2 linked regions of the Cricetulus griseus genome follow. The protein of the gene in region 1 interacts with the protein of each later gene in a biochemical or structural test. Links are inferred from orthologs where the notes say so. Each region holds a gene or a part of one and is shown on either strand. Other genes may lie near its edges.

The links.
Region 2: the proteins of Loxl1 (region 1) and Fbln5 form a complex in vitro, tested with the Homo sapiens proteins (2 studies listed by BioGRID and IntAct). The link is inferred for Cricetulus griseus from reciprocal best matches to the Homo sapiens genes LOXL1 and FBLN5.

The regions. Positions count from the first base shown.
Region 1 is NC_048597.1:169,909,981-169,913,727, forward strand, and holds the start of Loxl1 (lysyl oxidase homolog 1), read right to left. Parts: upstream 2,359-3,747; 5' UTR 1,976-2,358; coding exon 778-1,975; intron 1-777. UniProt on the Homo sapiens protein: Catalyzes the oxidative deamination of lysine and hydroxylysine residues in collagen and elastin, resulting in the formation of covalent cross-linkages, and the stabilization of collagen and elastin fibers.
Region 2 is NC_048598.1:104,252,547-104,256,193, reverse strand, and holds part of Fbln5 (fibulin-5), read right to left. Parts: intron 3,267-3,647; coding exon 3,147-3,266; intron 1-3,146. UniProt on the Homo sapiens protein: Essential for elastic fiber formation, is involved in the assembly of continuous elastin (ELN) polymer and promotes the interaction of microfibrils and ELN. Stabilizes and organizes elastic fibers in the skin, lung and vasculature.

The DNA of each region.
Region 1 (3,747 bases):
TACTTTTAAAAATCAAAATCAATAATAAAAATATCTGCAAAGAACAAATATCCTGTTTCAAATAAAGACAGGACCCATATTGATATTTCAGTTACTGAGTCTATTTAAAATGTGGACATATTTGTTCATAATGGATTTTTAATGCACCAAAATGTTACTTTATCTTCATTACCCAGATTTTTAGTGCTCAGTTGAATTGTATGCCCTGGCCAGTGGGCTCTGGCATCCCAGCCTTATTGGACACCCCTTGGGGTCTGCAAGTTATGTCTGTTCAAGTGCTGCTCTTTGCCCTCCTACATAACTCACCAATGACCAGCCAGCCCACAGAGGTCCAGGCATGGGGACACTGCTGTACCTCCAGAAGCATCCTTAAGGCCTCTTGACCTTGAAGGTCCATAGCTCCCAAGATCTTTGCCTCAATCTTTGCATCTGACATAAAGTAATTTCTAAGAGTCTTAGGAGATTCCCTGACTGGAAGAGGGAGAGGCAGGGAGACGGGCTTTCCTTACTTGTCCCTAGATGACCCCAGCCAGATCTGTAAAGTACTTCTTAAAGCTTAGCTAGTCCTTCCTCAATTACCCCAAAGCCAGAGTCAGAATGCAGTGACCCTGATGGATAATGGATGGATTCAGGGCATGGGAGGAGAGGCTCACTGCTGTTGGCCACACGGTTCTCGCTCAACCACTACCGGGAGACCTTTGGTAAGAGACAGAGTATCTGAATCCCTGAGGCAGCATTCACCTGTGACCAGAATGTGGAACCAAGGACAGTACTCACCGCGACCATTCTGGTTGGGTCGGTACACACTACCCACGCTGAGACGGCCCTGCTGGGCGCCGTTCCTCTCCCCACCCGGCGAGGGCGCATCAGAACTGCGCACAGGCAGGTAAGGCGGCTCCAGCACACGGAACGGGGGTTGTGGCTCCACCGCTCGTGGAGGGACATAGGCCTCGGGCTGCACATTGGCTGCATAGGGAGGGTACCAGCCGAGGCGGGGATCACCAGCATAGGTGCCACCTGCCCCGGTGGAGCCCTGTGCTCCGTCGGTGCTGGGATCAGGGTAGGCCTGCTCGAAGCCCTGGGTGCCTTCATTGTACAGGCTGTGCGAGTAGCGACGGTCAAGGCCGTCAGAGGGTTGAGGCTGAGGCTGAGGCTGGGGCTGGGGCTGGGGCTGGGGCTGGGGCTGCGGTGCATAGGGCCTCTCCGGGGCTGGGTAGAAGCCCTGGGCCGGATACTCGGGCTGCTCCTCGCCGCCACCTCCATACTCCTCGTAGCGTGCCCGGGGTTGGAAAGGATAGATGACCCCAGCCGAGGCTACAGCCGCCGCCCCCGCACCCATGCCTCCGCCTGCTCCGCGATAGTACACGTAGCCCTGGTCGTAGGTCCGCGATGCGGGGTCGTAGTTCTCATATTGGCTCACGAAAGGCGCCTGAGGGTAGGGGAACTGCTGCTGGTACGAGGATGGCTGGCGGTAGGTGGTGGCGAAGGCCGAGGCCGAGACGGAGGTGGAGGTGGAGCCCCCGTGCCGTTGCTGGGAGACAGAGGTGCGGGCCCGAGCCATGCCTGTGCTGTCCCCGACGGCCACCTCTCGCCAGTTGTCGGGCACCTGGCCGAAGCCGAATGGGTGCCGCGTTTGACCACGCACAGTGTCCGAACCCACGCGCCCAGGCAGGGGCAGGGATGGCGCCTGCCGACGCCGGGGTCCCCCCTGGCTGCGCCGCTGAGACGTTTGGGGCGCGCCTGCCAGCAGCACTCTGGAGCTACTCTCGCCTCTTTGGGGCCCCGCGGGCACGTACTCAGAGCCCGAGTTGAGCAGGCTGTACACCTGCCCGTTGTTCTCCCACTGGATCAGTTGTCGCCAGCGTCCCGGGTCTGAGCCCTGTTCTGGCTGCGCCTGCTGCCCGTGCACCAGGACGCACAGGCAGGCACCCCACACCAGGGTCCCCAGCTGGCTACCGGCTCCGGCCAGAGCCATAGTGGCCCTTCTGCAGAGGCCGGGTGGGCAGAGAGGCTCTCAGGAGTGGGCCCGGGTTCGTGCTTCTTTCTCTTCCCACGGCCTCGAGGACAGGACGGCTCCTTGCCTGCCCAAGCTCTAGCTTTGTCCATCCTGGCCTTGTCCCGAGCGGGACGGCTCCTCCGATGACAGCATTTCGAGGCCAAGGGGTCAGGGCAGGGCAGGGGCGGTGCCCAGGGCTGCACGAGGCTTCTGCAGGGCACGACGGGCAGGACCTCCTGGGGCCCTTACATGGCCAGCCCCACACTGGCTGGCCGCTCGCTAGGCTGGCGCTTTCCTACTCTGAATGAATAAGCAACAGGCTGGAAGTGTCTGGAGGTTTCAGGAACCTGGTCCGCCTGCTGGGGCCTCCTCCGCGGGGCCCTATGGCCCGCCGGGTTTTAGCTATGTGGCCTGTCCCACAGCCGTGCTCCCTCAGTCCTTGCTGCTTCCAGCCAAGCCACAGACCTGCCTCTGAGGAAGGGAATGAGGCAGGGAGTAGGAGGGGGCCCCCGGGGACGCAGCCCTGTTAAGTGGGGTTTCTGGCAAGCACAGCAGGGTTAGGATGTCGGCACTACCCTGCTGGTTCCACTCTGCTCTGAACAGTTTTTCTGAACTCCACTTTCCTCATTGACTTTATCTCTTCCCAAGCCTCTTGGGATGCCTTCTGTCCTCTCCAAACCTATTGCTAAGAGACATCTTTGTTGGTGAGCCTCCCTGGGGAGATGCCTACCTCTAGCTGGGGTTAACCTGTAATTCCCAGGACACTTGGCACTTGGTCCTAAGTACAAAGACACTGGACCTTCAGCTCTTCCACCAGGTCTCAGTTTATAGGCATGGAGACCACGGTGTGTGTGTGTGTGTGTGTGTGTGTGTGTGTGTGTCGGTGGGCTGAACAGGACTTGGAAGCTCATGGGAGACTGACTTCATGCACCCCGTGGTTTATGTCCTGTGCTTCTTGAGTCTATCGTAGCCAGAAATAATCTGAATATACACATGGATAAGGTGAGTCCAGCAGCTGGCAGCCTTGGCATGGAATAAGGTCGCTGCAAGGCAGAGAAACCTTTAGCATAAACCAGCAGAGAGGGAGGACTTAGGAGAGCCATGGCTTTCAAATCTTAAGTAAGTTCCTTTCCAACTTTGATCTAGTGGCCGCATTTGATGACTGGAAGATTATTCCACATAACTCCATTTGTTTTGGCAGATTCTCTGCTCCCTCTGCGAAGGGCAGAGATAGTAAGATAGATCTCAGACAGTTCAACTTCCTTACTTGGTACCCAAGAAGTTACACTCAAAAAGCTGCTCTACAGGCCTCCCCTAGGCTATGTTAGGCAGGTATGGCCTTGGGAGCTGGAGGGCAAAAATTACCCCCCCCCCCAGACTTATAAACAAAGGAGGAAGAATCTGTCTCCCAAGCCTGAAGACTCTGTTTTGGAAGCTCCTGGAACCCATCTAAGGAGGAAAACAGCCAGAATGGCACTCTTTGGGAACGAGGACCCCTCTGCCCTCCATCCTTACCATGACACATTTATTGACCCACTAGACTGTTTTTCAGGACTGAGGCTCCATTTCTGAGTTTGGGACATTAGATATCTATAATCTAGCCAGAGGAATGGGGCTTGCAGCACCACTTCTCCCAGTGTCACTCTAGCTCTCAGCATAACGTCTGGATTCCCACAACACTGACTGATTAGACTGATGACAAGCATGGCTTGGCTCAAGTGAAGCCTGGGACCTGCAGGGTTAAGCCTTCC
Region 2 (3,647 bases), on another chromosome or scaffold:
CTCTGGTGGCCTGACTGGCTCAGGCGTTCTCTGCAACAAGCAATACAGCCGTCTCCAGCCAACCTGGAACCATCCTTCAGAGGATGGCTGGGGATGGCATTGTCCCAGGGATGCTACCATTAGTCTTCATAGACCTTGGCAGCTGACACTGGAGCAGGCATTCCAGAAAGGCCGACTCTTCATCGCACACAGAATTTGGCAATGTAGGCCCTATTTGCGCCTCATTCAACAGGCATGCCAAAGAAAACATGTTTTTCTTACATTTGTTGTTTCCCGAAAATCATTTCCACTGGTTTCCCCATGTGACATGTCCTTGGATTACTCTGTAACTCACAGACCACTGGTGGCTCAGATCACCCAGAGAGAGTGTTGGCATGAAAGAGGCTGCTGCTTTGTCTTTGGAGAATCCACGTGTCACATAGCCACTGCTTTCTCTGTCCAAGAAGGGAAACTCTCCCTATCTTTCTGAGGTGTCTCCCAGCCATGGGCAAAGGGTCAGTGGACTTAGGATGTCATCCCCTAACTGGAGTTAGCATAGTCCAGTGTTATTCAATCCTCCACCAGCTTTTCAGAAAAACCTGGGGACTCTGGCCCCAGCCTATCATAATACAATGCCATCATTTGTTTCTGTGTAGTTTGCAATTCCATTAGTTCCTTTACTTGATCTTAGTAATGATGTCTATCGATTCCTGAGGACTCCTGTGTGTCAACCCCCATGTTAAATGTTCAACATATCTCATTGTATTTAATCCCCGCCTCAACCCTGAGAAGGTGCTGTGACTATCTGTCTTTAAATAAATAAATAAATAAATAAATAAATAAATAAATAAATAGGCTCACAGGGCTTTGGCAACTAGACCAAGTTCATAGATCAAATGATTAGATAGGAAATCACAGATCTGAATGTGGTACCTCAATACGACTCTGGTGAACATGATGAGGTAACATTCTGTTTAGGACCTAGAAATCATCAAATCTGGGAGTGCCAATATGGGAGAAATACCTCAGCATAGTTTCATTGTAGAATGGGAGGAAAAACCCACCCTACCTTCTACTGGGTGAAGGAGGGTCACCAACCCACTACACTATAGTTTGTCTTAACATCTGCAATTCCAAAATTCTAGAAAGATTTTGCATGTGTGTGTGTGGTTCTCCACCCCACAGCCCCCACAAAGGGCTGTGGCTTTGCCCTCCACTGAAACAGAAGCCAGGTGTTAGGCAGAGAGCAGGCCTTAGGCCATTTTCATTCCTCCTTGTTAAAACCCCATCTCACTTCTAGAATCAGCATGACTCAGTAAATCCCAGGAGGACAAGGAGTGTCCAGTGTTGCAAAGAGGGGCTACCCCAACTTTGAGAACCCAGTGAAGATAATAGCAACCCAGCATCTAGAGAAAGTGCAAATTCCTAAGGTCACTGCTAGCTGTCTAAAAGGCCTGCTGGAGCCAGGGCTCCCCTTAAAGTTAGTAGAAGGTCGTATCCAGTGACCATGTAGGAAAAGTGAGAAAATCCTGCCCAACAAGAAAGGATTTGAGTTCCTCGTGAAGCCCAAAGTTCCTAATATTCAGAGAAGATTCATTATGTGATCATGCCATTGGGGAACATGAATTTGCCCATTCCTTATGACCAGTCCATGAAGACAGTTATCCATCCAAGAGGAAACTGAAGCTTGGACAGCACCCTGACCATGAAAAGCAGGGATAACCAAGGCTTTGAACCCAGCCACATCTGGCTCCAGAGTCCTTAGCTGACAGCGGTCAATAAATGTCTATGGGATTGCAGGTAACTCTGGGGAAGGTACTAATCCATTACATCCCATAATGCAAAGCTTTCCACACCTCTCAGTTCTTTTGCTCAGATTCCCTAAGGAATGTCATGAGGGGAATTGAAATCTAGGAAGAAAGGGGCCTTTGATGCCTCTGGGTAGGGCTGGTATTTAATCAGGCTGAGGCTCTGTAACTGCTTGCCATGGCTCTGAGGGTCCTGGCCCTGGAGAGAGGTGACCGTTTGTTTCTGAGAACTCTGTCCCTAGAACATCCCAGTCCTAGGGGAGGCTGGCACACAAGCTCATTCACAGCCTTGGTAGGCTCCTGTGACAGTGAAACCCAAGACTGGGAATCTTTCCATTCTGCCAGGTAGTTTTCACACCTAAAACACTGCCTACTTTTATTTTGAAAGTCATTGTTAATGCAGACAGAGCTAATTCACAGCTGCAGGGGAGGTTAAAACTGGTGGGTTGATTTTGTGTTAGCAAAACATTTACAAAGAACAGAGACAGACAGGCAGACAGGCAGGCAGACAGACAGAGACATACAAGTAAGCCCATAGCTCTGTATTGTATGATATGCAACAGATTAAATATAAATAAAATGTGTTTCTTAGTCTCAAAAAGTTCTTACTTTCGTAATAGTTTTTTTTTTTTTAACTTTCTAGGAATCTAACTTTCTGGGTGGGGAGAGGAGTTTAATAAGATAATTACAACAGACTCAAGAAACTAGACTGAGTAGAGAATGAGAGCAACTGGAATTTGTAAAAAATAAATAAATAAATAAATAAGTCAACTAAACCACATTTATGTTCTCGAGACAAATGGCTAAGATTTCACTCACTCAACAGTCACACTTCTACTTACTGACTCCAGACTTGTTTGCTGCATGCTTACTGTGTGCCAGGTCTAGAGCTGGACTATGGTTGTTTGATGGAATTCCCAAAGCACTTACATGTACGACTTACTTAGTCGAAGTCCTCCTAAACTAGTGGCAAAAGCAATTATCCCTAGATCACTGTCCTCTATAAATATTATCTATGCCATCTTCAGGTCTTGAGTCACTGCTGGGAAAGGACAGATAACTCTCAGACCAACAGGCAATATTTGGTGAGCCCTCCCTCTCACCAACTCCCTCTGGGATCCAGACAGAAGCTTGGCTGATGTCGCGTTGAAGGTCACATGATCAGGAAGGTAAACCTGAACTCCACATCTCAGGAAGTGACTCATCTTTGTTCTGTGTGGTTATGCTCCCATGACACTGGGAAATGTCTCCAACTAGACACGCAACCAGGAAATGACAGGAAACACCTGGGATGAATCCCTCCTTGCCCCAGCCCCAGATCTCTGAACAGGTGGACAGCTCCAGTGCCAAGCACATTACCACTGCAATGAATGCCATCTTCCTCAAGTTCATATCCAGGGTCACAGCGGCAGATGAAAGAGCCATAGGTGTTGACACAGGTTTGAACGCAGGGATTCTCAGTTTCACACTCATTCACATCTGTATGAAACCAAAGCACATCACTATCAGTGTGACAGAAAAAAATGAACAAACAAACCCCAGAAACAAGAAAACATGATTTGGCAGCCAAATCTGTTATTACCAAGAGCTCAGATTCCCGGATACCTGTCAGATCACGATCTCACTCTCTGTGAGACCATATTAACTGTCAATTTACAGGCTCCAGATGAGCCTTCAGGCACACCTATGAGGGATTACTTAGCCTCTGGTCATGCCTATGGGAGATTATGTTGAGTAAATTAACTGAAGCAGGCAGCACCATTCCCTGGTTTGGATCCCGAGCTGAGTAAATGGAAAGATTGAGTTCGAGCTAGTTTTCATCACTCTCTGCTCCTTGACTGTGGATATCACGTGACCAGC